Kluyveromyces lactis: one gene and its partners. The protein of the gene in region 1 purifies or fractionates together with the protein of each later gene. This does not show direct contact. Links are inferred from orthologs where the notes say so. Each region holds a gene or a part of one and is shown in the gene's direction. Other genes may lie near its edges. The genes, in order: RSM22, RSM18, MRP51, MRP2, MRPS16, MRPS5 and RSM26.

What was found.
Region 2: the proteins of RSM22 (region 1) and RSM18 purify together in Saccharomyces cerevisiae (affinity purification with mass spectrometry; 3 studies listed by BioGRID, with this or other methods). This does not show direct contact. The link is inferred for Kluyveromyces lactis from reciprocal best matches to the Saccharomyces cerevisiae genes RSM22 and RSM18.
Region 3: the proteins of RSM22 (region 1) and MRP51 purify together in Saccharomyces cerevisiae (affinity purification with mass spectrometry; 3 studies listed by BioGRID, with this or other methods). This does not show direct contact. The link is inferred for Kluyveromyces lactis from reciprocal best matches to the Saccharomyces cerevisiae genes RSM22 and MRP51.
Region 4: the proteins of RSM22 (region 1) and MRP2 purify together in Saccharomyces cerevisiae (affinity purification with mass spectrometry; 3 studies listed by BioGRID, with this or other methods). This does not show direct contact. The link is inferred for Kluyveromyces lactis from reciprocal best matches to the Saccharomyces cerevisiae genes RSM22 and MRP2.
Region 5: the proteins of RSM22 (region 1) and MRPS16 purify together in Saccharomyces cerevisiae (affinity purification with mass spectrometry; 3 studies listed by BioGRID). This does not show direct contact. The link is inferred for Kluyveromyces lactis from reciprocal best matches to the Saccharomyces cerevisiae genes RSM22 and MRPS16.
Region 6: the proteins of RSM22 (region 1) and MRPS5 purify together in Saccharomyces cerevisiae (affinity purification with mass spectrometry; 7 studies listed by BioGRID, with this or other methods). This does not show direct contact. The link is inferred for Kluyveromyces lactis from reciprocal best matches to the Saccharomyces cerevisiae genes RSM22 and MRPS5.
Region 7: the proteins of RSM22 (region 1) and RSM26 purify together in Saccharomyces cerevisiae (affinity purification with mass spectrometry; 3 studies listed by BioGRID, with this or other methods). This does not show direct contact. The link is inferred for Kluyveromyces lactis from reciprocal best matches to the Saccharomyces cerevisiae genes RSM22 and RSM26.

The regions. Positions count from the first base shown.
Region 1 is NC_006041.1:1,030,860-1,036,309, reverse strand, and holds RSM22 (tRNA methyltransferase RSM22), read left to right. Parts: upstream 1-2,245; coding exon 2,246-4,435; downstream 4,436-5,450. Other genes in the region: NUP192 (Nup192p), read right to left, coding at 1-90; KLLA0_E11727g (uncharacterized protein), read left to right, coding at 783-1,028; SRP102 (Signal recognition particle receptor subunit beta), read right to left, coding at 1,176-1,949; KLLA0_E11661g (40S ribosomal protein eS27), read right to left, coding at 4,787-5,032. UniProt on the Saccharomyces cerevisiae protein: Mitochondrial ribosome (mitoribosome) assembly factor. Binds at the interface of the head and body domains of the mitochondrial small ribosomal subunit (mt-SSU), occluding the mRNA channel and preventing compaction of the head domain towards the body.
Region 2 is NC_006041.1:408,290-412,265, reverse strand, and holds RSM18 (mitochondrial 37S ribosomal protein bS18m), read left to right. Parts: upstream 1-1,984; coding exon 1,985-2,452; downstream 2,453-3,976. Other genes in the region: KLLA0_E04621g (uncharacterized protein), read right to left, coding at 1-257; KLLA0_E04599g (uncharacterized protein), read left to right, coding at 707-1,084; KLLA0_E04577g (uncharacterized protein), read left to right, coding at 1,369-1,755; protein kinase PKP1, read right to left, coding at 2,586-3,851. UniProt on the Saccharomyces cerevisiae protein: Component of the mitochondrial ribosome (mitoribosome), a dedicated translation machinery responsible for the synthesis of mitochondrial genome-encoded proteins, including at least some of the essential transmembrane subunits of the mitochondrial respiratory chain.
Region 3 is NC_006042.1:87,831-92,149, reverse strand, and holds MRP51 (mitochondrial 37S ribosomal protein bS1m), read left to right. Parts: upstream 1-1,939; coding exon 1,940-2,998; downstream 2,999-4,319. Other genes in the region: KLLA0_F01012g (uncharacterized protein), read left to right, coding at 1-1,378; imidazoleglycerol-phosphate dehydratase HIS3, read right to left, coding at 3,223-3,888; MRM1 (Mrm1p), read left to right, coding at 4,253-4,319. UniProt on the Saccharomyces cerevisiae protein: Component of the mitochondrial ribosome (mitoribosome), a dedicated translation machinery responsible for the synthesis of mitochondrial genome-encoded proteins, including at least some of the essential transmembrane subunits of the mitochondrial respiratory chain.
Region 4 is NC_006038.1:936,313-939,945, reverse strand, and holds MRP2 (mitochondrial 37S ribosomal protein uS14m), read left to right. Parts: upstream 1-1,846; coding exon 1,847-2,194; downstream 2,195-3,633. Other genes in the region: MET16 (phosphoadenylyl-sulfate reductase (thioredoxin)), read left to right, coding at 1-271; DCG1 (Dcg1p), read left to right, coding at 729-1,559; Rho family GTPase RHO1, read right to left, coding at 2,823-3,449. UniProt on the Saccharomyces cerevisiae protein: Component of the mitochondrial ribosome (mitoribosome), a dedicated translation machinery responsible for the synthesis of mitochondrial genome-encoded proteins, including at least some of the essential transmembrane subunits of the mitochondrial respiratory chain.
Region 5 is NC_006042.1:2,518,313-2,522,136, reverse strand, and holds MRPS16 (mitochondrial 37S ribosomal protein bS16m), read left to right. Parts: upstream 1-2,078; coding exon 2,079-2,441; downstream 2,442-3,824. Other genes in the region: mRNA-binding protein RRP12, read right to left, coding at 1-1,355; CIP1 (Cip1p), read right to left, coding at 2,967-3,824. UniProt on the Saccharomyces cerevisiae protein: Component of the mitochondrial ribosome (mitoribosome), a dedicated translation machinery responsible for the synthesis of mitochondrial genome-encoded proteins, including at least some of the essential transmembrane subunits of the mitochondrial respiratory chain.
Region 6 is NC_006038.1:1,001,738-1,006,096, reverse strand, and holds MRPS5 (mitochondrial 37S ribosomal protein uS5m), read left to right. Parts: upstream 1-2,404; coding exon 2,405-3,289; downstream 3,290-4,359. Other genes in the region: cytochrome oxidase assembly protein SHY1, read left to right, coding at 3,670-4,359. UniProt on the Saccharomyces cerevisiae protein: Component of the mitochondrial ribosome (mitoribosome), a dedicated translation machinery responsible for the synthesis of mitochondrial genome-encoded proteins, including at least some of the essential transmembrane subunits of the mitochondrial respiratory chain.
Region 7 is NC_006041.1:116,806-121,078, forward strand, and holds RSM26 (mitochondrial 37S ribosomal protein mS42), read left to right. Parts: upstream 1-3,006; coding exon 3,007-3,768; downstream 3,769-4,273. Other genes in the region: putative DNA-dependent ATPase RAD55, read right to left, coding at 1,158-2,399. UniProt on the Saccharomyces cerevisiae protein: Component of the mitochondrial ribosome (mitoribosome), a dedicated translation machinery responsible for the synthesis of mitochondrial genome-encoded proteins, including at least some of the essential transmembrane subunits of the mitochondrial respiratory chain.

The DNA.
Region 1 (5,450 bases):
ATCAGATACAAACTCATTGAACAAATCGGTACGGAAATCAGCTTTCTGTATGGATTCATACAAGGAGGCAAAGGGTGAAAGTGCCCACATTATTGAATTTATATGTCACACAGTACTTCGACCAGTACAGGCTTTCGTAGCTTCCAGTTGATGATATCACTAGATCAGCCCTACTGATGTAAATTCAGTATATCTTTATTTTATTTACTATTATTTACTTCAAATTTTTAATAATGGAACCAAATTATCAACAGTAAAAGTAAAACGAGGGTAACCATCATTTGCGAATCGAGAACATACCTTCACAACCACTAGTGAAGATGAAAAACATATTGTAAGTACTGAGTGACAGCTGATATTCTCGTGCTAGTTATCAACAGATAGATATTGAAGTGCAGTTATGTTAGATCTGATGTAGCGGTTTCATTCTCTAAGTTAAAAAAAAGTGGTTAAAAATAAAGCACTCACGGTGGGGGTCGAACCCACAATCTTCTGATTAGAAGTCAGACGCGTTGCCATTACGCCACGCGAGCAACTGTTATGACAACAAGAAGTTAGAACAGTACCAGACTCCTCCTCTCGTATCATTTACTCCACCTTTATTTATGTCGTTGGAAAATTGAATGGATACCGTGTGAGAACTTCGCGCTCACCTTGTAGTGTTAAAAGTTTCTGACTTCGAGATCAACATTGCATCTTTACCACTGAATGAAGTGAATGGCAACAATATCATACTGTAATAGGATCATTTGCTCTTATTTTGAACTTTAATATCTGCAGCTATGAAGACCTTTTCTATTATTTTAGCACTCTTTATCTATTATTGTGTTTGGTTACTGTTACCTATATTTGATCTTGATCAAAAAGTGTCACTTTTCCCATTATCTAGCCAATATGCAGTTGGAATCCCTATATTACTGTTACTACTTGGAACTTCAATCGTTGGAACCTCAGTTGCTGTAATGTTATGGAATGATTGCAGTGATGTACCGAAGACAAGAGACAAACCAACGCATACCAATACTTAACCTTTAACTTCAAATTCAATGACCAAACAACAAGGCTGAAAAGGATATGACAAATCGCAATCGTTCACAGTTCATTACATGGCTTTATTAAATGTGCTATATATGAATATGGGAAAAAAATTCCTGAAAGGCAACAAGGCAGATCGCCTAATTCATTGCACGTTCATCAATCCAGCATTCCCACTTATCAATATCATTTTTCAAAACGCTTCCCTCCTTAGCATCTACATTCCCATCAATTCTATCGAATTCGAATCCGGCTGAGTTTTGTTGAAGAACAGCAACCTCATCGTCATCATCGTCATTAGCATCGTCACTCAAGGACTTTTTCGAGTTTGCCTTCAAACTTTTGGCCTTTCTCTTCATGATTTCAGTTATTTCCTTCTCCAAAGCACCCTTGATCTTTGATGGAGGTCTTGCCACGAATGACTCAGATTTATTGCATGCCAACAAGATGTCAACTCCGTCTGGTCTTAATTCGGTGACAGATAATATTTCATACAATAGTTCTGCAGTACTGACCAATTCCTTAGGATTAATAGTAGAATCAATCACATAAATGAGCCCTTTCAATTGACTCGAATCCTTGATGGTTTGGAGCAGCTCAGAACGGAACTTGTCATGTCCTGGGAAATCGATCAATTTAAACTTGAAATTCTTATGACTAGTTGGTAACATGTAGTCTTCAGCCACATTGGGTTCTTGTGACATCACCGATGGTTTGACCGAGTCTGTGGTTAACAAATTGAACAATGCAGTCTTCCCCGTTTGCGGCAAGCCTGCAATGATGAAAGTGGGCGCTCTATTGGTGTATTTAGAAGCACCAGGAATCACGTTGGCACTCGTCTTTTGTACGATCAGCACAAATGCTGCACTGATCATAACAATAATGCATGCTAGTAAAATTGGTGTCGACAACATTGCCGATATATATTACGGTTTCGATGTTCAAGCCCCTAGAAACAGTCTTCAGATGCAACAGAAACTCACAGAACTAGCAACCCTAACTGAAATCACCGGGTCTCTATATGTCCATGTTGACTTTAAACTGTTTAACAAATTTATCAGGCTGAAAAGTTAAAAGAAAAAAAAAAAGATTTGAAAACCATTCTGTAAATTTGTATGAGAAATCAGTTGGAGATGCGATGAGATGGCGACGTTCAGTGGATAGAGAAACATAGATAGACTGACACCAGCCCAGACAAGAAGCTACCAATATGTTACGTTGCAGTCGAACGCTTAGCCCTCGAATATTCACTCGTATTCCTGTGTCAAGGTACTCTTCACTGGCCGATTTCCCGATTAACGTTAATGATTTAGATGCATCTACAAGAGATAATGCGCCAACCAGTTTTGGTTCTGTTGTTGATGACTCTCAGAAAGATAACGCAATAGTTATAGAGAGAGATCATTTGCTTTCGGATAAGGTTAAAGGAGATTACAGAGATCAAAATGGGAATCATTTACAAGGTGAAAATGCAGAGGAGGCAAGACTTCTACCCAAAACTCTTGAAGGACGGGTATTGAGAGATCAGATCCAATTGCCGTCTGTGATGAGTCAAGCAATCCAGAACAACATAATGTCTCTACATATACCTGGTAATCTAAGAAGAGCCGCATCCAAATATTTCGTGGAGTTATACGAAAGCTCCCTTCATCGACCTACATCATCGAACATCGAAGTGGATTCTCATATCGCATCAATCTTTGTGCAGAATTATGCTGCCATATATCAATCTTTATCAGAACTTAAGAAAAGGGTAGGGGAGAGTTTCAATCCTCAAAGAGTATTAGATGTTGGTTATGGGCCAGCCACTGGTATTGTTGCTTTGAACGATTTAATGGGAAAAGAGTACAGACCCAGAGTGAAAGAAGCCACTATCATAGGTCATATTGAGATGCAAAAGAGGGCAAAAATAATTTTGAGTAGACAATTGAATGAAATTCCAGACGACATGTTATACGGGGAAGAAGAGCCCACTGAGAATGTCGAAACGAAAGAAGAAGAAGCTGACAATATCGAAGGAGATGACGAGATGTTGGGAGAAGTAGCTACGAAGAGTATTCATATTAACACGAGGTTGCGTAAAGATGTTCCTGGTTCCAACGAATACGATTTGATCATCCTAACTCATCAGCTCTTAAGACACCAGGAAAGATTCCCAGCCCAAATCGATGACAACTTGGATCATTATTTGAAGCTTCTTTCCCCGAACGGACATCTAGTTATAGTAGAAAGGGGCAATCCAATGGGTTTTGAGATTATTGCAAGGGCAAGACAGTTCATGATCAGACCTGAAAAATATCCTGAAGAACACGGGAAGATTCCAAGACCCTGGAATAGAGGTAATAAGATGATGGGCAGAACCAGTTATCGTTCAGTGCCTGTTGAGAACGAAGAGCCCACACTTGAATCCTTAAACATAAATGATGACGAATATAAACAGTTAATGGAAAACTTGGATGCCAAATATGGAGAAATAAACAAACAAGATTTAGAATTCGAACCAGAACTTCTTGAAGCCATTGAAAAGGAAGATTCCAAAAGAGGAACATCTAGTGATGAAGAAAGTTATTTCATCAAGATCGTTGCACCTTGTTCACACCATAGAAAATGTCCATTACAGATAGGGAAACCTCATTATTACGATTTAGATGAAGGTTCGAAATTGAATTTCTGTAATTTCCAAAAGACTGTACTAAGGCCAAGATTTACTATTGAATTAAAGAAGGGCAAAGTGCTTGCTGCACCATGGCAAACTCCAACTGATGGTATCGGTATCAAGGGGAAATCTGCACCAGGCTCAGGTAGAAGAAATGGTAAGAGTTTTGAGATTATAAACTATTCATATTTGATTGCCCAAAGATCTTCAAAAGATCGAGCCACGACTGAAGCAATAAATCGTGAAAGAGAAGAAAATAAGATTAAGTACGATATTGGCTCATTGGGAGATGAAACTGCCAATACGTGGCCTAGAATCGTTAAACAACCTACTAAGAGAAAAGGACATGTGATTCTCGATCTCTGCGCACCATCTGGTAAATTTGAGAAGTGGATTGTCCCAAAATCCTTAGACAAACAGATATATCACGATGCTAGAAAGACTCAAAAGGGAGATTTGTGGACATTAGATGCAAAGACGAAACTAGCAGGCGGAGGTGCCTTAAATGTAAATAAATTTGAGAAACTGCATAAGGAAAAGATCAAGAAGATGAAGAGAGCTGTGAAATCAAAATCACGTGAATTGAAAGACATGGCAAATCAATTAGACAATGAAAGAGAACATATGGATCCCGAATCAGCTGTTGATACGTTAGCTAAATTCCATGAGCACAATTTCCAGTTATCGAATGCAAAGAAGGAGAAGAAATATGCCAACCGGAAATTGGCAGTGGATGAGTATTAAATCTTCCAGCGGAGGGTTAACAAATCAATTTCTTGTAAATAACTAATAACTACATCCCATTATAAAAGAAAGACACTGGGTCAATTATATTTATTTATTTATTTTAATTCAAATATGAATTTTACTTTAGCTTTAAAGGGAAGACATAACGTTCTAGTATATTACTATGTGGTTACATCCAAATACATATACCATACTACACCAGCATCACATTGTCAATGACATGCCAAATAAAACAGGCGCCACGGACCATAAAGAGCAGTGTAAAGAAGAGAAGTCAACTCGTAACTGTACAACAGAATGAATACGTTTTATGTTAAAATTATTGGTGTGCTATAGAAAGTGATTAATCTATTTTCTTCTGAAAGAAGTACCTTCAGACAACTTGGCCTTACCACCGGTTGGGGTACACAAGACGGTAGAGCATGATTCACAAGTGACAGCGGTTTGAGCGTGAGAGAACACAGTAGTGATGTTCAAACAACCTGGGCACTTGACATCCAAGAAGTGAGATCTTGGGGATTGAACCAAAGTCTTTAACTTGTGCTTTCTAGCTTCAGAAGCAGCGGTTGGGTGCAACAAATCTTGAACTAAAACCTGTTAAAAGAAGATATACGATAGACATAGAATGCCATCATGAATGTGTTATTGTTAGTAAAAAATTATTCCATATTGAAAATACGGGCAGTCAACAAATTGACATGGACAACCCATATATTTGTGCATCACATATCGCCCAATAAAAAGAAATGAGAAGGCGAATAGTATTTTCATTATATTTTTACTGATGGAGAACACACAGTTTCATCTCATCCAAAATGCGTTTCCTTCGTATAATATCTCAGAAATCCACTGTACTGACAGCCCGAACAACGTCTCTGGTCGTATTTCTTCTTCTTTTCCTGTACAGTCCCATACAACCTCTGTCTCCGTCTGTCTTTCATCTTATCTCCTTGAGCAAGGAAACATTCATATTTCAACATGAGGCCATATCCAGCATCCTTCATAACATTAT
Region 2 (3,976 bases), about 620 kb from region 1:
AATAACAATCTCTTACAAATCTTTTCTAAGGCATCACTTTTTTGTTCCAAAAACTTATACTGAATTGGTAGTTGACTGATATCATGCACTGTTCCCAAAGTTTCTTGTAGTTGGTGTCTACGCTTCAAAATGGACAAACGTGTTTCAGGATCATCCAAGTGGATCTTTTCAATGGCAGAGGAAAATTGTTCCTGAGTACGCTGTGCGGCATTACTGATTGAATCAGTTATGTTATTCAATGATAGTTTACTAAACATAATTCGTTAACTTAATTAAGGCACTTCTGAATATTAACAAACTGTATTAAATTTTGATTCTGAATTGTAACTTCTTTTTTTATTAAGATTATAGGCAATACCAATCTTCCTTTAAACCTCGATAAGTTTATTATTTGCCTGGCTCACGTCCACCAGATAGATGCGGTTCTGCGTGTACTTATCTTTGTCTGTGCCTTGATTTTAGTTCTCTATTTTTTTAATTAATTTCATCAAAATCAAATCGCGCCTCATTAATATTACATTAATGAGACGCGGAAGTATAATATGAGTATAAATAACTATAAATATAATCATTATTAGAATTGATACAATTAATAGAATTATTAACCCCCCCTCGCCATTCCTAGATCTAAAGAGACACAACTTGCTATTTGTAGAAAGAAAGCAGCTGCGCTGTTTGATAGATTTAAAGTTAGAGGTTGTCGATAATGATTAATAAGGATAAAATTGTTGATGGAGTTGTTTTTAAAGACGAAGATGATCCTGAAGAAACAGTTGTTTTTAATTTCCATACTTGGGTAGAAATGCTTAAAGCAATTATCGTTAAGTATGCAAATAAAAAAGAAGATGAGGCTGAATTAATGGTTTTATCGTCTTCATTAGTATGTAAGCCCATTGATAGTTATCTGGCAGTATGTCTTCGTAGCCATGAACTTGAGTATCATTGGGCAATGCTGATAGCTTACGGTGAACAGTTTTGGTTGAAAGGAGTAAGCTCTAAACAACCAGATGATTATTTAATATTGGACGAGAGTTATAGAAAAGACCACAATCTAGCTGAAGAAAGTTTTGTATTTAACGATTAATGGATTGAAAGCTGGAAAAGTAGTAATATTTTCCAGCTTTTTAATTTGTTGTTACGTTTATATGTTAACCTACTTAACCTGAATAACCACCAGAGCGGATAGAACACTGACTGATAATAGATGAATTGATGTTACATTGGAAATCACACCAATATTGATAAAATCCTCGAATTAGTTCAGAATCGCAGTTATTTACTGATTCATTATTCCCATCAGATCCAGCCAAGAATCAAGACCCTGCCGAAAAGCTGGGGTAAACGTTTGATTGTGGCCCACGGCTGGCTATGGGCGATTTCTACGTGCGGCAGCAGCGCGCCAGCGCGCCGCTGATCAAAGATCCATTACTGCTGCAGGTTACCGACAATGAAAGCCAGCTAGCCTCGATGCTGGCACACGAAATCTCACACGTGACCAAGCGCAACGCACCGCTGACCTGGGTAGGCACTCGGCTCCATTTTGCTGGCTATAACCAACCTGACTGCCGGCATAGCAGCGCTCAGCGGTACCGTCGCCGGTACCCAGCAAACGGATCATCAGTTTTGGCCAGGTCAAAGAATAGGAGGCCGATTGCATCGGCCTGTAGGTGCTGGAGCGCGCCGGGTTTGATCCACAGGGATGCCCGACTTCCTGCAAGAGCTTTCCGATCAATCGCGCTACACCTCCAAGGTTGATCTGCGTAAACTGGGTTGACAACAGGAAAAAGGTTGAATGCCTGGCAATGACTTAAGTATCCTTTATTTCAATCTCTTTTTTTTTGAAATTTAGAGATCTTTTCAACATGGAAAATTTTATTCAATAACATGAATATTAAGCAAGCAAGAGAAGGAAAACAACCAAGTCGCTCGGGCCTTTCTACGCCTGTTAACGAGAGATTGAATAAATTAAAACACATCAGAAGAAATGTTTTCCCGCAGCTGCGCAAGATTCTTTTCTACCACAAGATATGTCTGCAACAGTCTTGACCAAAAACTTCTGAAAGAAGGTATGTCGGAAGCTAATAGCAAGCCCACAATCAAGAAGCTAGAATCCAAGTTAATCAAAAACTTTCAGCCGGGCTCCGTTTACAATCCATTTGATTTCTCCTTAGAAAGAATACATTTAGATAAGAAGTTTGGGGTACGTCCTGGATCGTTTGACCCATTCAACAAATTGAAGATCAATCCACTTGATTTATACACCAACCCAGAGTTCTTGTCAAGATTTGTGACATCAACGGGTAAAATATTACACAGAGATGTAACTGGTTTATCGGCTAAGAACCAGCGTCGTCTAACAAAGGCTATTAAGAGATGCCAAGCAATAGGTTTGATGTCTAAGGTTCACAAAGACATATCGGTGCTTCCTCAAAGAACTGCAAACAGAAGCTAATCATGACATGTGATAACTTCTTGTATATATGAATATATGTTTCTCAATAAATAGGATTATATCTGTAAATAGCGCTAACAGTATAAACACGTTGCAATGGAAAGCTCCGGGACTGAATGATAGTACAGTGTTCTCATTTGTCGAATAGTCTATCCGATGGACCGTGCAATCGTATATAAACATCAGTACCCCATCCCCACAATGACTGAATGTCAAGTGTACCATTGAACAACTCTAGGTACGCTTTGCACATTGGAAGTCCGAATCCCATACCTGCAACGTTTTGGACTTCTTGACCAGGTAAAACATAATCGCTCATACCGCTGTCCTTCTCTTCCTTCACCGTTGTGGAAAAAGAATAATCAAAGACTCGGTCTTCTACCTGTGGATCTATACCGCCTCCGAAGTCTCTGATTCTGATCTCAAGTTGATCGTCGTTTTTCACTATTGTTACTTCCACATCTTTGTCAACGTTGTTTTCAATATGTGCTCTCGAGCTGTTCTTAAGCAATTCTTGAAGGACGTATTCTAGATCCGTAGGTATATATGAAAATTTCACATCAGACCCTTCCATAATTTTCACTGGAACGGTCTTATCGTATTTGATAAATGTCAAATCGTTAACAAATTCGTTCGTTCTTGTAACTAAGTCAGATATATGCAAATCTTTATGGATGACGCCAATGACCTCATCGGAAGAAGTCTGTTCCAAGAGCTTCAAATAGTTGGTAGTCAACAACTTCATCAATATTCTGTCATGTAAATGCTTATTCAAAAACTTGAATATGTTTTCTGGATCATAAAAACGGCTCACTTCCTGCAACCCATTTGATAACGTAAGTAACGTATCCTGGTGATCATTCAAGAATTCCTCTGTAAGATTTTGAATTTTATCTGTGTCATACAGATCGTATGGATACTCAATGCTTAGAAGTGATTCTAAAGTTTTTAAATAAAGCCGATTAGATTGTTCAATATTTGGGTTCACTAAAGCGATATAAGGTAATTCTTGTAGAGATGCCAATCTATGGCATGTCAACGTCAATAACAGGTTCAACGTCTTAATCGTGAGGAAATACTTCTCATTATCCTGAAGCGGGCCACGATATTGCAGAAGAAATGCCCAATCGATCTTTGGAATCTCATACGAAGAATAATCTTGGATCAAATGCTGGATATTTGATCGAATATGATAGAGTTCTTGGAAATTCAACTCGGTCATTTCTTTGCTCCGTTTTCGATGATTATTCCTACGATGAAGGCGGTTATGGGAAGATACAGTCTTTTCATCATTTTTAATATGTGTATTGAATAATGGGGACCGATGTACTGAAAAGAACCGGCATCTGTTCCTAGCCGTTATACTTGCCTGCTTCCTTAGAATGCCGCAAACCGTCATAGTTCGCTACAAATATCAGGTAAAGTATCGATTTCGTCCTCTGTTTTATTTTCAATTGTGAAAAAGAAGACCTAAACACAGAGTTCTGTCACACTGGTTGTATCTTGACCTTTTGATTTTGTACT
Region 3 (4,319 bases), on another chromosome or scaffold:
TGCTTTTCCAAGTATGCCTGGTGGGTTTACATCTTATGGAAAGCGTTTCATAGACCCGTCTGTGGGCTTTACCATTTCTTGGTTATTTTTTCTAAATTGGACTGTCGTTTTGCCATTAGAAATATGTGTCGCTTCTATGACTATCAACTTTTGGAACGAAAATATCAATCCTTCTATCGTTGTTGCATTATGTTATTCCTTGGTATGCGGGGTGAATTTCTTTGGTGCAAGGTGTTATGCGGACGCTGATTGCATTTTCAACTGTTTGAAAGTGCTTATGATCCTTGGGTTCATAATTTTAGGTATTTTCGTTAACACTGGTGTTGTCGGCACTAGCGGATATTTGGGTTTCAAATATTTCCATAGTCCAGGGTTCTTTAGAAACGATGAGGGGCTTTTCAAGTCAATTGCTGCAACGTTGATAACTGCCTGCTTTAGTACCGGTGGTACCGAGTTTGTCGCCTTGAGTTGTGCTGAACAGAATACAGAAGACATGCCAAGAAGTATTAAAAGGGCGTCAATACAAGTTGTTGTACGAATTGCCATCATTTTTTGCGTTTCTTTGATGATTATTGGATTATTAGTGCCCTTTAATTCCCCATATTTGATGGGGTCTGGATCAGAACTGACCCATGCATCTCCATATGTGGTCGCATTAACAACCAATGGTGTTAGGATAATACCTCATATTGTTAATGCAATTATTCTATTGTCTATTATTTCTGTCGCAAACAATGCGATGTATAGTAGCTCAAGAACATTACATTCCTTAGCTGAACAAGGATTTGCGATGAAATATTTTTGTAAATTGGATGAAAGTGGTAAGCCGTTTAGATGTCTTTGCGTTTCAGCATTTACTGGTTTATTTTCATTCATAGCCGAATATAAGGACCAGGAAACAGTCTTCGTTTGGTTATTGTCAATCAGCGGTCTTTCCACTATCTTTACTTGGAGTATGACCTGTGTGTCTCATTTGAGATTCAGAAAGGCAATGAAAGATCAAGATCAAGCTTTAGACCAATTAGGATATCAATCACCATGTGGTGTATATGGCAGTTACATCTCGTTGTTTATTTGTGCCATTATTTTGATAGTACAATTTTGGGTATCATTGTTTCCTTTAGAATCCAACGGTAGGCTGAATGTCGTCTCATTCCTTCAAAATTATATGGCTGTTCCAATTACCATCGTACTTTACCTTGGTCATAAAGCTTACACAGGGAACTGGAAACCTTTTATTAGAGCACCTGAGATTGACATTCAGACCGATCGTGACATCTACTGTGTTGATGAGGTTACTGGAAAAAAATCAGTTTTTGTTGAGCTTCTGGATAGCGGAGACATGTGCTCGAAACTATCTGATAACCTTGTCAAGTAGTACAAACATTTCTACGAAACTGAGGTTCTCATACAGTATCGACTAAACCAAGGAACTGTTGATATGAAATTATTACGAAAAAATGAATAGTTTTCTGTAGTAAACAATATAATAAATAATGCAATTGAAAAAAAAATTTAAACTCAACACCGATTTCTGATTATGGGAAACCCCTCATAGAAGACTTATGTTATACTGGTGCTGATCTCGTTTTAAATATTAGCATCACTTAAGAAACCATTCTTCCTTTAAAATGAGTACTAAATGTGACACTTTCATCAATGGTCTGTCGCAAGTCCGGGTAAAATGTTACGTTTCTAATGATAAAAAAATTTCGATATCATTGAATAGCATTCAATTCGATAAATCTTAAACACAGCTCAGCTACTGATTTTGACTGAAGAGCTAAATTAGTTCCTATCGTCGACTATTGTGACAAGGTTCCAAAACTATCAGCAATTCGTTGAATAGATAATTCACTTTTTGGGTTTAAACTGGGCTGTTAGTCCTTAGCTTGAAGACAGATATACTTACTGAATTCACAATTCGAAATAGAAAGCTATGTCCCATATATCTAATTTGTTAAAAAATTCCAGGATAGCACAAGTGGCAAAGACGGACAAGCCATTGTTTCGTCCAGGTAACTCTTCTCATCCAACTCATCAAGTGATTGAGACCAAGCCATCCTCCTTATATCGTCAGGAATGGGGTTTGAAGGCAAGCATTCCATCGAAAATCAAGACCAGATATTTGGTTTACAACGATTTGGACACCCAACAAAGACTAACGACTTTTGAACCAATGGGTCAATACCAGTGGAACAGAATCAGATTCCAAGAAATGGGGTTAGCCCCTCGTTACGTTGAAGAAGAATCCAATCCTCTATTCAATGGGAAAACCAAGAGGGCCGGAAAATACGCGCCATTCAGCAATGCTGTGAACATTGCTCATAACACTGCGCCTTCTGAAAAGACAAGAAAGTTGAAAGAAATTGACCAACACAGATCAGAATTCAAGAAGTGGCTGTTAGAGAAACACCCGGATTCCATTGCTGGTGTTAGAAATGAAAACACCAGACCTTTGAAGGCTTTAGCTACTGAATTCTTACATGAAAAGATGGGAAAGTTGAATATTAATACAGCAGCTAACTCGGAGTGGCACATTGTGGGCACCGGTGGTCTAACTTACAACTTGAAAGGTAGACTTAGACAATCTCCAAATGGTGTAAAACAAAAGCACGTTGTGCCAGGCAGAGTTTTATCTGTCCAGGGACCTGATCGCGCAGTCGCTGTTGGTGGTTTCATCGCTGAAGCTAAATCTGTGGGCCGTAATCCTCGTGCTCTACAATACAACATGGGTGATTTTGTCAGACAAGAAGTTTTACCATTTGCCATTGAAGATCCAAAGGTAGAAGGGGGTAATGTAACATTGTCTGCATCTTTAGTAGAACCAAGAAATGACTTCAGTTTTGCTCAGAAGATCGGCTTAGGTCAAAGCAGATCACATTATACCAGATCCGATTCCAGAAACTCTTCAAGAAAAACTGTAAGATCTGTCACCGCCGAAGAATCTAGATCTCAAAGTGAAGAGTTCCTAAACTTATTAAAGACAACCATGTAAGTTGATATATGGTAGGTATTACACAACCATAGCTAGAAGTCACTTGTAAATAAAACGTAATAAATACAGTCATGTTACGCGGAAGACGGAGCTGTGCGTCAAGCGGTTAAGGGCCGTGCTCGTAACTTAAATGGAACAAAATGGATGAATATATATTTGATGTAAACTTAAAATGAATGTCGCGCATATGCAATGAGAGTCCACTCCTTTCTTGAAAAGGAATTTTACATTAGAACACCCTTAGTAGAAGGAACGTCGTTGGTTCCGTTGCTTGAAATAGCCTCTTTGATTGCAATGGCAAGTGCTTTGAATGCAGATTCACTTCTGTGATGGTCGTTAAAGCCTCTCAAACAATCAACGTGCAAAGTTATTCTCGCGGCTTCAGCAAAGGACTCCAAGAAATGAGGTATCATCTCGCATGAAAGGTCACCGATCTTTTCCCTCTTCAACCCCAACTCTATTACTGCGTATGGTCTATTGGATAGATCCACAACAGCACGTGATAAAGCTTCGTCTAATGGTGCATATCCTGAACCAAATCTTTTCACACCACGAACATGACCCAAAGCTTCCTTAAAGGCTTGGCCAAGAGCAATACCACAATCCTCGGTGGTATGATGGTCATCGATATGCAAATCTCCAATACATTCAACAATCAAAGACCAGCCTGAATGCTTCGCAAGAGCATGAATCATGTGATCTAAAAACCCAACGCCTGTCTGAATATCAATGATTTGGGATCCAGTTACCTGCTTAGCAGCATCGGATTCCTCCCTTTGTAAAATAGAGTTCTCAATAGAAATTGGTCCACCATTCAATGAAATGGCAATTTGAATCTTGGTTTCATTCGTTATTCTAGAAACAAAAGCTTTTCTTTCCGGATAAGTCATTTTTGGTTGACAGTTCTTTCTCGAGGAATTCTTACAAAATGTGCCAAATATGAACGATGGTAGCAACTTTTAGGCTTCTTATAAGTACACAAACTAATGTTGAGGCCAGTTACTTTCTTTCTTCTTCCAATATACCTTTACGCTTCTGTCAATCTACTACGATAAAGAAATGAATCATCTTCTGGAATATTTTACAAATAAAGAAAAGCTTGAAACTTGACTTTCTGAAATTTTTCAGATTAAGCTATTTGATAACAAAAAATTGCCGAGATGAGATGAGCTGAGAGGCATGGAATAAAAGATACATTATCTGTTAACAAGAGCATAGCAGACTCAAATAAAGTAAAACCATTGGTAGTATAGCATGCTCAGAAACATCACAAGAAGTTATTCGAACAAGATTCGTTCTGCGGTCAAAGTGCCTAACGAAT
Region 4 (3,633 bases), on another chromosome or scaffold:
CATCGAATTGGACGAATTCAATCATATCATCAAGATCAACCCGCTAGCGAACTGGGACTTCAACCAAGTGCAAAGTTATATCCGTGATAATAACGTACCTTACAATGAATTGCTAGATCTAGGATACCGGTCGATTGGTGATTATCACTCTACACAACCTGTTCAAGAAGGTGAGGATGAGAGATCAGGCAGGTGGAAGGGTAAGGCAAAGACGGAATGTGGGATTCACGAGACAAGCAGATTTGCACAATATCTCAAACAAAGAGAATGATATGTGTTTGATATATATATATATATATATATCTTTTCTGTTGTATACTGTGCATGCGGCATCTCTTATCTAGCTTTATTTATGGTTTCAGTTTAGATACACAACGTGACATTTTTAGTCACTTAATGTACATATTATATATGTTGCGACTAAGGTGGAAAGTGTATGAACAGTTGCGAACCTTACCCATGCAACTTGGAAGAGAAACCCCCAGCTTGAATCTCTCATCAATTCTCATGACTGTCAAAGCCTAAAGTTTTTGGGCTGATTCACACTATGATAACCGGGAAAAAATGAATCAAAGGTTCTGAAAACATGCGTCCGGACAGATACGAAAAGCAACATAAACCAAAGAGAGAAACTTATATAACTCTGTATGATAGGAGTCAAGTAGCTCATTATTCCAGGATGATTAACATATTGAATCATAGAACATAGCTGACACTAACAAGCAAGGATGTCGTTGTCTAAATTACCTTTCGTAAAGCACAAGAAGAGTTTACCAGATGATGAGCTCATCAAGGTCTTATTTGTAAACCCTAATTCAACCCAAGCAATGACCGATGCCTGTTTAAAGATATTGGCTGGTCATGTAGCTCCAGACACTGTGGTTTACGGGTACACTGCACCATTTGGTAAGGCACCCAATGTGATTGAGGGTCATCTCGATGGTATTCAATCTGCAATTGCCGTTATGGAAGATGCTTACGATGTAATAAACCAAGTCGATTGTGTACTTGTTGGATGTTTTAGCGACCATCCATTGATAAAATCTATCAGGGAAGAATTTGATGATGTTGTGTGCATGGGTATCGTGGAAGCAGCCGTGTACTCATCCAGGATCATTGGATCAAAATTCGGTATTCTTGCATCAATTTACAAGGCTCAGTTAAGAGATGAGGAAACCATAGCAGGTCTTGGCATGTCCACATTTTGCGTTGGATTGTTAAGTTCTGGTATCAAAACCGTATCGGATTTGGTCAAAGTGGAAGAAGCTGAGCTTCATAAAACAATGTCTAAAACTGCCTTGACCTTAGTAGAAGAATATCACGCAGACACCATCATCTTGGGCTGTGCAGGGATGAGCGACTTGAAAAATGCTGTTGCAAACGCTTTACAGCAGAATGGCTATGAAGTGCCAATTATTGACGGAGTGGTATGCGGGATCAACATTGTTTCGGCTGTCTACAGAAGTGGATTACACGGTACATCCAAACAAGGAGCTTATTCAAGTGCTAGAAAGGCAAGAGAACTAAGAGGTGATACAGTTGAAATCAAGAAGTCATGATACTGGGAGTCCATTGGCATGGTGCTGTGTTCATTCCATTCCTTATATAACGTGTATAGTGCCAATATAGTCAGGTGACCTCCATCAAGAACGTTTAACATGATATGAACTTCAAGCTTTGAAAGAGAAAAAAACGAGTTTGGAGCTTCTCCGGAAGATGAAGAATAAAGTTCAAGCATTAGTGGATGCATTCTTTGGTTTTCGGCGTATTCAGTATCTGTGAGACTAATTTCGATAGTTATCCTAGCAATTAGTATATCCAAAGGAAGGCTGTAGATATAAACAACATGGGTGGTTTCAGATTTCCAATCAAGACAAAGCTTCCTTCAACGTATTTGAATGCTAGAGTTATCAGAGACAATTTCAAGAGACAGCAAGTTGCAGACAATGAAGTCACTGTAAAGGCATTGAAATTCATTGCTAGAAATACTACTCTACCTCCAAGGTCGAGAATGGAAGCTCAGTTACAACTTTCTGTGATGCCTAACTATACAAGAATGACACAAATCAAGAACAGATGTATTGAAACGGGACACTCCAGATCTGTTCTGAGTGATTTCAGATTGTGTAGATCGCAATTCAGAGAACTTGCCAGGAAAGGTGATCTACCTGGTGTGAAGAAGGGTGTATGGTAGATGCAGTTTAGCATCTTTTGTTCCCTGATACTGAGGTTAGTAAAAGTTGGAATCTTTCTCTCCCGCATGCATGTAAATATTTTTAATTAACTCAACATATATAAAGCTTGTGTATAGACATTAAAAAATACAAGGTTTAATCAATGTAAAAGAAGCGCTTGGGTTGTGGCAAAGCAAGTGACATTTATAAGATGAGAAAGTGCAGTATAGTGGTGATAATATTTAAGTTTCTTACAAAATAAAAGAGTGTAGGTATATAAAAATAATTTATAGGTAGAAACACACAAAACAGAAGAGAGGTAGAAGAGAAAATGTCAGGGAGGGATGGTCACTTGAAACCAGATGGAAACAAAGAAAAGAACGAGGAGAAAAAATTAGGAAATTCAACGGAAATTAATTGCTGACATTTGTATATTAAAAATTGATCAATTAGAAACAAATGAATATGGTTTGTTCGTCTTCCCTCTTCTTTTTTTTTGGATCTTTACTTCTGCCAATTAACGGTTGTAAACAATTCCCATCGCCTAATAATAATATCCTCAAAGCTCAGTCCTCTGTTTCAAGGTAAATTCAAATGAAGTTGGAGATAAGGGGGTGAAGAGTGGGTTTGGGGCGTGCGTGTCTTTATTTACAAGACGACACACTTCTTTTTTTTGCTAGACTTAGTCTTAGGTTTGCTCTTACCTTGTTTACCGACCAAAGAAGCTCTTGTAGCAGCCTCGAAGACTTCTCTGACACCGTAACCGGTCTTGGCAGAACATTCGATGTAGTCAACAGCACCGATTTGGTCAGCGACTTCTTGTGCTTGAGCCTGAGACACAGGTTGTAATCCTTGAGCTCTTAGTTCTTCAACAACTTGAGGATCATTTCTCAAATCTGCTTTACAACCAACCAAGATGATTGGAACACCTTGACAAAAGTGTAAAACTTCAGAGATCCATTTTTCCATCACGTTTTCTAAGGAATCTGGCAAATCAATTGAGTAACAGATTAACACAACGTTGGAATCTGGGTACGAAAGTGGTCTCAATCTATCATAATCTTCTTGGCCAGCAGTATCCCACAACGCCAATTCTACGCGACGACCGTCAACTTCGACATCAGCAACGTAATTATCGAAAACAGTGGGCACGTAAACCTGAGGGAACTTACCCTTGGCGAAAACAATCAATAAACAAGTCTTACCACACGCACCATCACCGACAATAACTAGCTTTCTTCTAATGCTGGCAACATTACCAACAGCTTGAGACATTATGGAAAGGGTTAAAACAAATCAAATCACTACTTTTTTTTATTGTATTATAAAATCAAAGCTGTTCGAAAACTCTTGAGTAATTCTGTTTTATGACACTTAGAAGGAATCTATATTTCTTACTCAATAACTTGCTTTAGAAACTCTATCCTTGATTGATTCTTCACTAGTTAAAATAGGAAAA
Region 5 (3,824 bases), on another chromosome or scaffold:
TTGATAAAATCTGGATTGGCTCTATATTTCAACTTTTTGAAAGTAGCCGTCAAAACATTTAACACTGCCTTAGCACAATGTGTGTATTTAATAGATAATAGATCCACAAATATCTCAGACAACTCTTGAATAACTTCATCAACTGCTTCAAAGTGCTCAGCGGAAACGGAAGGTGGATACAACAAAATTTCTGATTTGATTGCGTCAGTGACAATAGCGATTAAACATTGTGCTGCGCTAAAGTAGATATCTGGAATCTCACTTGATAGGTAAAATGATAAAGTTCTGAAAACTTCAGGAATCTTAACAAAACACTTTAATGGATCGTGAATCGCATATGTGCTGATACCTTTAGCGACGACTGCAATCCAGGCTGCTGCCAAATGTGTATCATTTTGGGATGGTTTTAATGAAAAAATGACATCAAGGGCTTTCATGAATTTATTCTCCGCTAAGCCAGATGAGACTGAAGACTCGGCCATAGACTGGAATAGAACCTCAAAACAGTTAAAAGAATTAGATACCAAAAATTGGTCCGAGGTTTTACAAACTTCCAATAGCAGATCACAGAGTTTTTCCACATGCGCAGTTGGCCATTGATTTGTTGATATTATATTGCTCAAAAGTTTCAAAATATGAATGATTTTGGAGTTCAATTCACTTGCACCTCCCATTGCTCTTAGCTTCTTATTGGAAATCGTTGCAGATTCATCAAGGATGGATACCAATGCATTAATAGCGAATGCTGAGATCAAAGGTGATGCGACGTGTTCTGCTGTTGGACCAGGTGGAGGGTTTTTTAGAATGTTGGTAATTGCATCCTGTGCTCTCTTCCTTACTTTTGGTCTTGGATCTAGAGATAGCTCAAGTAGACCATCCAAACCTCTTGTTGGAGTCACCTTTAAATTTTGAGTGTTATTCCACGTTTGCGTATCCTGGGCAATTAACAAAGCTTCTAAACAACCAAGAGCGGATTTGATCAAAGGAGCGTTAGCCTTTTCATCAGTAATACATGGGGCAACTTTAATCAAAATATCAGCAAACCTGCTCTTTAATATTTTCTTTGGTGTATAATGAAAAATGATGTCCAACAAATACATCGTTGATGTTGCTAATTGTAGATCTTTAATGGCCGCAGTTTCTGTATCGATAGTTTGATCCAGCAAGGACATCAAAGAAATAAGATAATTCACGATGTTCTTATTAATTGCCTCTTGCTCATTAATATTTTCTTCAATAGCAGCCAAGATTATGGCAATGTGCTTCTGATTCTCTAGTTTTGATGTAGATTGTCCTCTGATTTTAGCAAGCTTATCTTCAAGTTCAAGAAGCTTGGACGCTTGTTCAGGACCCATATTGCACAATTTGTTCGCTTGTCAGTTTTCAATCCCAAGTTAAACTCAGTAATTCTCTTTTCTGAGGTGTTGTTGATTATAACTCGTCTCTACTTGTTAGATGAGATGAGCGATGAGATGAGCTAGATTGAAAATTTTATACAGCTTGTGAAAAATTTCTTTTTAAGCCCTTAGTGATGAAGCAGCAAGGATCGTGAGGCAATGAAGAAAGCAGAGAATAAAAAGTAAATAAATTTTGGTTAATATATGCCAACTCTGTATATATGCGTCTGCTAAACGGGTTCAAGAACATACTATTTCATTATTTGTGTCGTTAACTTTCTTTACTGAATGCGATGTTATTTGTAATGCCAAGTCGTTTTATATGACTGCATTTTTGGTAAACTAATTCCCACCGTCAGTCTAACTCCAGTAAATAAACACTTTCTCACTTATAGATACTTTCTCATAGATCAACTTCCTATACTATTAGGCTGTAATGTCGCCATAAACGCCTAAGACGAATGTTGCTCATACGGCTGTTAGATATCCCACCTATATCACGTGATAGACATGCTTTATTTAGTTGGTGTTGAAAATCCTTCGAAAGATAGAAAAAAAAATTCAATCAACATTAAAAGCGTAATAACAGGACAAACATATTATGTATCAAGACGACCAGAGCGAGTAAACCAAGTCTCTTAAACCAGAATTTAACGCCAAGTTTGGTGAAATACAATAATCATGACGAAAGGTTTGGTGAGGATAAGACTAGCTAGATTCGGAAGGAAACATACCCCAGTATACAACATAGTTGTTACCAACAAACATAAGGCGTTGAATAGGAAACCAATTGAAGTATTAGGAACATACAACCCAATCCCAAAACCATTAACGAAGAAAGAGGTTAAACAAGGTGTTGTTCCTACTAAAGATGTGGAATTAGACTTCGGAAGAGCTAAATACTGGATCGGTGTTGGTGCTCAACCTAGTGATACGGTAACAAGACTATTGAGAAAAGCTGGAATCCTGGATGAAAATTGGGGAAAGACCTACACAAGTAGTAGGGTTGTTATTGAACCTAGGAAAGAAGTCTTTGAAGAATAGACCAGCTGTTCCGATTACTGTATTAAAAGCGGTATATCAATAATCAGGGCATAAATCACCATCTCCCAAGGCTTTCTTACGGTCAAGAACTCATGTATATAGGCTTAAATTGATAAGAGGAATTCGGGCACTTTTTCCGGTCATAAACCAATGTAGTAGTTACATACACTTAACAGCTTGGCCCCATGCGGTAAAATTGAAGTGATTAAATTTACATATCACCATATATAAGATGCTATCAGGTAATTCTACACAATAATAATAATCGTCATCAGCATATATTTCCCTGAATGAGGGAAGTATCATCGAGGAATACTGACTGTTAAACTATGTGATTTCCGAAAATTCATAAATATTAACAAAATTACAAGAACAAAAAGATGGTTTATGTTATGTTTTTGTGAATGAGTGAGTGAATGTCTAACTTCTCAAGTATTTAATAGGTATGTTTGGTGTAATGTTCAGGTTTGTATTGGAGATTAGTGCTCATGATGTTACATCGAGTCAAATTGTGTTCCAGTGCAACTATAAATTGGATTCATTTTCTATATGTGTGGGTAATCTATTGTTTCGTTCATCAGGCTGTTGACCAGCAGCAGCAGTATTTGTAGCATTTGAAGTTGAGTTCAAAAGAGTATTTACGCTTGCGGTTGATTGTGCTAGGAAAGATGATTGGGATGGGATAGAATTTGTTGGAGTAAGAAAGAAATGAGCATTACTAGAGGATCTTGACCTTGTTAGATTGGGAAGAGCAGGTGGCTGTACACCACTAATAGTATTTGACAATTGTGGGTGTATCTTGAACGAGTTACTTCTTGATCTACTAGCGGCTGTAATGAAACTATTGTTTCGTGACCTGACAAGAGCTTTTGGATTCTGAGGAGGAACTTGCGTAGTGCCTTGTGATAGTTGTAACGGTTGTTGCAACTGCTGCGACGATGGTCTAGATTCGAATGGCGAGTTCAAACCAGTGTAATAGTTCGTAGTAAAGGAAGAAGGTGGAGAATTTGTACTTTCGGCAGAATGACAATTGAAATAATCCTGTGGACTTTGCTGTAGCATATTGTTAGACATTCCTTCGTTTCCGAACTGAGGAACAGGAGGTAGTGATATGATAGAACTGTTTCTTGAAAGATAGTTTTCTTTCCGCACCTCTTTCAACAACCGCTGTCTCACTAAAGTCAACAACCACGAATTTCTCTCCAGACCGATATCAACTTGATCAGCATCAGCTGTTTCCACTGCTACTTTAGATACCCGGTGCAGAATCCCCGAAGGCGGGTTACTGCTATCGAATGGAGTGACTGTCGGATCTGAGCAGACCTGTAGGTAAACCTCCAATAATAAAGAGACAAACTGGGGGGTAAATGGTGCAGGAATAGA
Region 6 (4,359 bases), on another chromosome or scaffold:
TGAAGAGTAATAAAAGTTTGAGAAAAAGAATGGAACAGGATCGTAGTAGGAGATCTTTCACTTCAATTTTCAGTACACATGCCCTAGGGTTATTTAGACCCCCCCTCTTTTGCATCATGTGTAGTTGTAATAATTCGTCGTATCTAATTTTTTCATATTCCATATAATATTTGTCCGTTCTTGCCTTTCGAAGTAGAAGTTATCATAACGAAACATTAAAGTGAAAAACATGATGCCGTACTTTTGTAACTAGAAGGGACTTTAACCGTTATTATAGTTATTTCCTTCTGCATGACATTGGTTTGAATTTTGGTACCAGAAACACCTGTGATATGCCGAATGGTAGATAATATGAATCATTTTTACCAGATCTCATAGCTATAATATACTTTTCTTTCATAAGCTACTTTTTATAATCCTGACGCAATCCCGATAGATAGATGGGCTAACCGTTTTATGCACGAGGAGCGGCTGAACATTTCCGCCTGGCAAAAAATAAACTTCTTGACTTTACTTGATTGTTGAGCGTAACGCATATTAACATGTGCAGCACACATTGAATGTTTATAAAAAGGAGGTCAGGAGGACTGTTAAAGGATTTGATAGCAATTGTGTTCTCCCAAGTCTCATCCTAAAAATCTGACACCGTGAATTGCTACCCGACACACTATATGATAGTTTATGGGTACAGTAGAATTTACAATTTTGACCAATCAACCAAACTACGATCCCAGATCAATCATGAGTATGCTTTCGCATTGATAAAATTTAAACAGCGAAGAGCAGACAGCTTTGTTCAACGTCTGTTTGTCATTACAAAAAGTATATTCGCAACAAGTACTTCTCAAATCCGGCAGATAACACTGAAAAAAATACCTAGATAATAATATTCGGGTAACAATGAAAGTTTAAAGTGACGGAGAAGAGGAATGTGTAACGTTCTGGAATCGGAACGGTCATTTCTGGTATCTGTCGAGCATTTTATTTTTCATGCGAGGAAGAAGATCTGGCTAGAACCATTACTTCTTGTCAGAGAACGAAAACGCTGCATTAGAGAAAATATTAAGAGAATGCTACTGCACGTATTGGCAGGAAAAATAAGAGGAAAAGAAAACTTGCAAGGCCAGGTGGTTTCCTTTCTTACCATATGTATATCACTGCTGGGTAGCGTTAGTAAATGCATTAGTTTGTCAATCTACCTGCGGCATGGAATTTTCACATGACGCACAAGTAAATCACTATTGATGTCGCATTGCCACTAGGGATTGGTTCCAGAAAACATAACTTCTTCCGAATTGATTTCAGATTCTACCTCCATCCATGTGAACGAGTATTTCGTTCCAATATTTTTATATAAATTAACGAGTAACTTATATGGTAATCTTGTCAGATAAGTGGAGTTGATTTCATTTGGAAAGAGAACCAACAGGATTGGTATGTCTCATATGAATTTATTCTCGGACCAAAATTGAGAAAGAAAACATCTGCAGTTTTTCAAAAATTCAGGCATTTTGGGATTACTCTCTCTTCATGCAGGGCAAGACACCAGATCATCTTTATTCTATTGGTCTTCATGTTCCTGCATAACTAAATACTATTTGTATTTAGTTCATTATTTCCTGTAGATAAAGAATCTTTCTAAATGGGTTTTAAAACATAGTAAAATATATACCTAAAAGAAGAGTCTTCGTGATATGAATGTTTCATCTTTAAGGTACTGAAAGGATATGGTACTAATATTGATTCTAATGACAACAAAGCCCGTGTATAACATTGCCAGCTGAAACATGTTGCTCCACTATGTATCAGAAGAATATGTAGTGTTTTGAAAAAAGATCTTCTCTGGAAATTGTATATAGCGATACTAAACCACTAATATAGATGTTTTAGTGACCGGCTTTATTAAAGCAGGTAAGTCGTTGTTTAAGCGACAGAGCTCAATATTGGATGAAACAGACTCAGAAATGAAACAAAAAAACATGTTACCCGGATAGCATTCCATATGATAGTGTCATCTACCATGTAAGGGTAAAGATGCGTGGAACATACCTGAAACATACTCCATGTATCCTCCTTTGAACGTCTGAAGAAGATTTTAAAGATGTGCAACCACTGCTAATCTTACCATACCTTAGTGGGTGGATCTTCAGCTAAGAATTGTGAATTTCTAATCACATGATCAAGAATAATGCTCTCTCATTTGTAACGATTGATCGATTTTCAAAAATTAAAAAAATTTCAATAGTTAATACAGAATGGCAACATACTCAGACATATACACCAGAATAAGGTCTAATATAATTGACACCAGAAGTCTTTTGAAGCAGGTTTAGACAGGTCGAGGAGCAAAATTCAACATAGTGAGTTGCAGCGTCTTTCTCAATAACCCTGATCGTATTTGAGAATGTTCGTCCGTTGTTTCTCGAGCACTGCTCGTGTATTTCAACAAGACCTGTTGAAGAAATACTACTCTCCAGAACTACTCAAGTCTATTTCCTTAGCTGATAAAGTAATTCCTGACAATGTAGAGTTCAAACCACAGACAAATGTTGAATTCTCACCACCATATTTGGATAACTTTGCCACATTACATCCTTATTGGGATTATAAACCAAACTCTCCACATCTACATTCAAGCTCATCTTCGGTATTCGTTCAAGAGATGGAAAAGCATCCAGATTTGACTCCTCCTGTGGGTTCATACTTACAAACTGAAGGCAGATCAGATATACAAAACATTGCCAATAATATCCAACTACAGACGGGGTTCGATGCTCAACATATCGCCAGAAAACTAGTGATGAAACCATTGATCTTAAAGATGGTTTCTAATCAAACTGCAAAAGGTAAAATTCCATCCTTCTATTCTCTTGTGGTTGTTGGTGATAAGAATGGTATGGTAGGAATCGGTGAGGGTAAATCCCGTGAAGATATGGCAGAATCCATCAAGAAAGCTCATTGGGATGCAGTGAGGAACTTAAAAGAAGTGCCTAGATTTGAAAAAAGAACTATTTTTGAAGACATAGACTATAGATACCACGGTGTGAAACTATTCTTGAGAGCTGCTAAGCCAGGTTTCGGTCTAAGAGTCAATCACGTAATTTATGAAATTTGTGAATGTGCTGGTATCAAAGATTTAAGTGCAAAAGTTTACAAGAGTAGAAATATCATGAACATAGCCAAGGGTACTATAGACGCTATCACCAAGTCTCAAAAATCTATAGATGAAATTGCTCTAGGTAGAGGTAAGAAAATTGTGGATGTCAAGAAGGTATATTACTCTGCTTGATTTCAACCAACTCCATATTTAAATTACTTTCACTTTTTCTCCTATGAAGAAACTATCTGAACAACCTTCACATGATTCAATTACGACCTAGATGATCATTCTCATAAAACAATCAATACTCAGATCTACGTAACCTTGTACATATTAATATCCCCACAACGTCGGAGTTCCAAATTCTTCTTCACGTGACTTTTAGAATATTTCACACTTTTCTGATCTTTAAAAGATTGGAAAATGAAGATGATGAAAGCAGATGAGTAGTATATCTAATCGCGTATAAACATGATTAGAAAAGCTTTAACTTCTTTGCTGTTACTAATTGTTCAAACGCATTTCAATTCTTAGCGGAAGCTACTAGTATCACACAATTAGCAAAGCATATGTTTCGCTTCATTGTGGCTAGGCCATTCACTGTACCAAAGGTAAGGCCGGTAAGACGACTTTATAGCACGGTCAGGACATCGACTGTTGACTGGAAACCTATCAAAACAAAGAAGACACCTACTGAAGGATTTCAAAAGAAGGAATCACGATGGGGTAAGCGTATTTTTCTAGGACTGATGATTGCCATGCCCGTGATCTCGTTCTACTTAGGAACCTGGCAATTAAGAAGATTGAAATGGAAAACCAATCTAATTGCTTCCTGCGAAGACAAATTAACCTACGATCCTATTCCGTTACCTAAAACGTTTACACCGGATATGTGCGAAGACTGGGAATACCGCAAGTGTACTATGACCGGTAGATTCTTGCATGATGAAGAGATTTTTGTCGGCCCCCGTGTTAGAGGAGGGATCAAGGGGTACGTTTTATATACGCCTTTCATCAGAAAGGATACGGGAGAAAGAATTTTGATTGAACGTGGTTGGATCTCGGAGGAGAAAATCGTTCCATCATCTCGTAACTTGCAACATTTGTCTTTACCTCAAGGCGATAACGTGACAATTACAGTGTTAGTGCGTGCAGCTAAAGATTTGACATCAATGCAATGGAAGAAGGAAGACAGGGAGAGTAGATTGTGGCAAGTCTTGGATATTAAGGATATGACAGAGATGACACATACTTCTCCT
Region 7 (4,273 bases), about 910 kb from region 1:
GCAGTATTTCTTTATTGATGAACGCGATGTGTTAGCGATAGTAAGTTTTCTTGCTTATCTAGAAGATACAATAGTGAATCCTGATGTTACAGCTATAACAATACAGATTATTCAACAGGAAAAAAAAGTGGAAGAAGGGATATATTATTCTAAAACTCTTGAAACAAACCAATGCCTTATATACTTTTCAGTCGGCCCACTCATATCGCTATTCTTATCCCCTTGCTTTCTTCACCTGGCAATTTATTTTAGTCACAAGATCTACGCAATTTTTTCCCTCTCCATTGCAGCACTGTCATACCAAAAAAAAAAGATGAACATGACAATAATAGAAACAATCTTTGTCACAACAAATATCCACTTTAGTCCAATTAAGTAAAATCGAGAATAGTAAACAAAAAATGGAGTTGTACGCAGATACAGCAGAAACCCTCAAAATAGAAGCCGTCATCCCTCAAATGGCTCTTCCCAAACAATAAGCAAAATCTAATTATCCAGTCATTTCTTCCTGTTTCTGCGTAATTCCATACCCGCATTCGGTTTGGCCATATTAAAATGGAAGCCGGCTATTTTACAAACAACACCTACAAGGACATATGTTGCTTATACAATGGAGCTAAGTGGGCCGATCACAGATTGCTCCACCTCAGAACCTTCATTGACACTTTATGACAGGTTGGAACGGCTGAAACATGTAAAAAACAAGATTAGCTTGTTAAATTCATATCTGTAAACCTAGCAGTAACAATAAAAGCAAAACAAACAAATTTTTCCTATTTGAATTCCAATAATAGAAAAGTTAGTGGATTCAAGGTTCAAGAGCTCTTAAAACCGGCCAATGAAAACCGTCCCATGTCGATTACTAAAGTTGGCATAGATCACGTCAGATCTATTTTGATGCCCTTTGGGGATCTCTCGAAGGAGAAAATGGAAAAAAAAGACACATGCACCCATACACCACATCATTAGTAATTTCCATGATCTCTCTTTTGGTTTCCGTGGAGATTCCTGGAAAAGCGTCCGATGACGAATGTGAGATATATTGGGCACCACTCGTGACCGTATCTAAGGAGGAAGGGCGCAATTCTTAGTTGCATATTTTATTCACTTAAAAGTGACAAAATTAGGTCGGCTTCCTGTTTGTAATGTGTTCCGTTCTATCCTTCACTATCATATATGATAGCGTCGTTGTCAGTGCCTTCAGTTCCATGAGTTGCCACAATGTTGTCTGAATGAACGATTCGTGGTGTAAACTGGATTGATTGCGAAGAGTTTGGTGTTACGGGCTGACTGTGACTTTGAACATCTAATAGCATACGGCTCGGACTTGGCTCCGTGTATAAAACCCGTCTTCTCTTGTTTGGGGGAAGCACCGGTGCTGCGGCTACTGCAGCAGCAGCAGCTGTCGCACTTGAGGAAGTGTTCGTAGGAAGAAGATTGTCAGTGACAGCAGTTGTTGGGTTTTCTGCGACTATAGTTGTGTGACAGCTATAAAAGTTCCCAGATTCATTAGTCTTAACCCAAACCAGTTTATTCTTCGAGCCCACTGGCTGTTGATGTTGTACAACAAACTGCCGTGATACCTCGGGGATGATTCTTTTCTGGGAGTTAGGATTCTGCTTTTGTTCTGCATCCCAATTCCAGAACACACCGATCCTGCATCGAAGAAACACCTCCCAACGGGCATCTTTACTTCCAACGGCTGCATTTGCTACTAATCCACTCTTCAACACTTGCACGTGACGTTTCCGTTGAGATTTCACGAGGAAATTGCTAAAGGAACCATCTGAGTGGGTTCCGTTGCTGGGATCGTTGTATGAGACAACTGCATCGTCTGAATAGTCCTGGTAACCTGTGTTCATAGCGTCATTAAGTAATACCACCACCGTATTGTTTGAAGTGGCGTATTTAGTTATGGTGACAAGCAATTGTATCAAACTTTTCACCTTGAAATCGTGCAAGGTCTGTCGATGGTTAGAATATCCACTGTTCTTCTCGTACATATGGAGATACTCTACCAAAAGCTGAGATAAACCATCGATTATTATGAGCCCGTACGTCTCTTTTAAATTCTGAAACATGTACCACAGTTGAGCAAATTTCTTCACTCTTGCGAATTGGCACCCTTTGAAATGGACTTCGTCCTCATCTCCTTGCTCTATAAGCTTCAGTGGTACTTGCTGGAACGTGTCAATCCACAGACATTTCATCCTATTCTGATTATTGTTCACTAATTGTACCGCGAACTTTGTCTTGCCAATTCCTGGAGGTCCGTAAACCTCGTAGATACTCTGTGGTTGGAATCCGTCATTCAATGAATCGTCTAAACTCTCAATGCCACTTCGTACATGATCTGCACGCGCTTGTATCAGTTGAGACAAAGGTACACCAAATGACATTAGAATGCTATCAACTAATCACCAAACGCGTCCACAGTTTCTCCTGGTTCTTCAAGCCTTTCAAGACTATGTATAACTAGCCTTTTAAATCCGCATAATTCACCTTTAGGTGTAACTAAAAAATGTCATCAAGTCCGTAGACAACTCAGCTCAATAATGTTTGTTTTATTTACCAGGTTTTTGCTGTGATTATGTTATTCAAAAATATAAAATAAGAAAAGATAAGAGGGAGTAATAATACTTGAATTTAATCATTGAAAGAATTGAAATTAAAAACTCGAAGGTTCTTCCCACGAATCTCCTTGTCTACCTCTTGTCGGATTATATCCTACGGGTGTATCTTATTTGGACTTTATTGATTATTAGTCTAGTTCATTAAGCTAGAGAAGATAATGAGTTCCGGGTAACATTTCAAATCTTAAAATTTTTCTTAGCATTCAACATTGCCGAACAGGAAAAATTGAAATCATTTCGACTTGTATCAATTCATGAATCTAAAATGCATAACTAGAAAGTCTACTATTTCTTGCTCAATGCATCCTATTTACATTCTTCCTAGAGTTTCGGAACGATTGATATAATTGAGGCAACTAACTAAAAATATTTAATGTCAATGTTTGGGCGTCAACTGTTCAGAGGAATACACACAGTTCCAAAGATACCTGGTATTTCACAACTTTTGGATTCAGGCATCCCTCATGTTATGAGCGCTAACACATTCAAAACTTGCTGGGTTGACCAGCAGCAGCTTTTGTGCGATAAGCTAACACTGGCATCTGCAGGAACTGCCGCAGAATCCTACTTGCCATTCCATTTAGTACTGCACACTGCGAAGAAATCATACCAAACAAACATTTTCAATTTGGCTAGTGCTTTGCACAATAACCATTTGTTCATAGAAAACATATTGCCTATGGAACAAGTTACACATCCATCTCGTGAGTTTCTACAGAAGCTAGAATCACAATATTCAATGACTTGGGATGCTTTTAAGGATGAAATGGTTAGACATGCAGAAGAAGATGTGTTAGGTCAAGGATGGCTATTCCTTGTGGAAAATGATGCCAAGGAACTTCACATCCTAACAGTTCAAAATAATGGTACTCCATACTACTTTGCTAGAAACCAATCTTTCGATTTGAACAGTGCTCTATCCTTAGAAGAAATGGAACAGTTTGTAACGATGAGAGATCTACTTGCCGCAAATGCAGACGTTAAAGATTGGACAATGCCTTTGATTGCGATCAGTTTGTGGGACCATTCATACTTGAATGATTACGGTATTAAGGGCAGATCCACTTACGTAAGGAAGTGTTTAGATAACTTGAACTGGTCTGCGGTTAACAACAGATTGTTCTCCACACAATAGGAGTATACCAGTACTTCCAATCATAAATAGACTGTTGGCTCTCTTTAAAATATGGGTCTTAATTACATGTACATAGTCACAAATGCAATATAACCGTTTGCGAATAGCTCACAATCCTCTCTCATTATTAGCGTATCTCTGGTTGATATAGGCAAGAGCGGATAAGGTACGGAAAACGGTATTCAACTAAAACTTCAACATCAAGTATAAAATACTTCCAAAACTCTGAGGAACTTGAGAACTCGTCCTTGTTAGCTCAGTTGGTAGAGCGTTCGGCTTTTAAGCATTGCTCGCAAGGAACCGAAATGTCAGGGGTTCGAGCCCCCTATGAGGAGTTCTTATTTTTTCGTATTTGCAATAACCATCATAATATTCACTGGCCGGGAATGTTAGGTTTAGTACATTCTGTTAAATAAAATTCCTAGTAGGAAATAGGCACCTGGCGATGGATAATCAACTCTGTGACTGCTAAAAGCCGCTTATCGCTAATCTTTTGTTTTTCTTT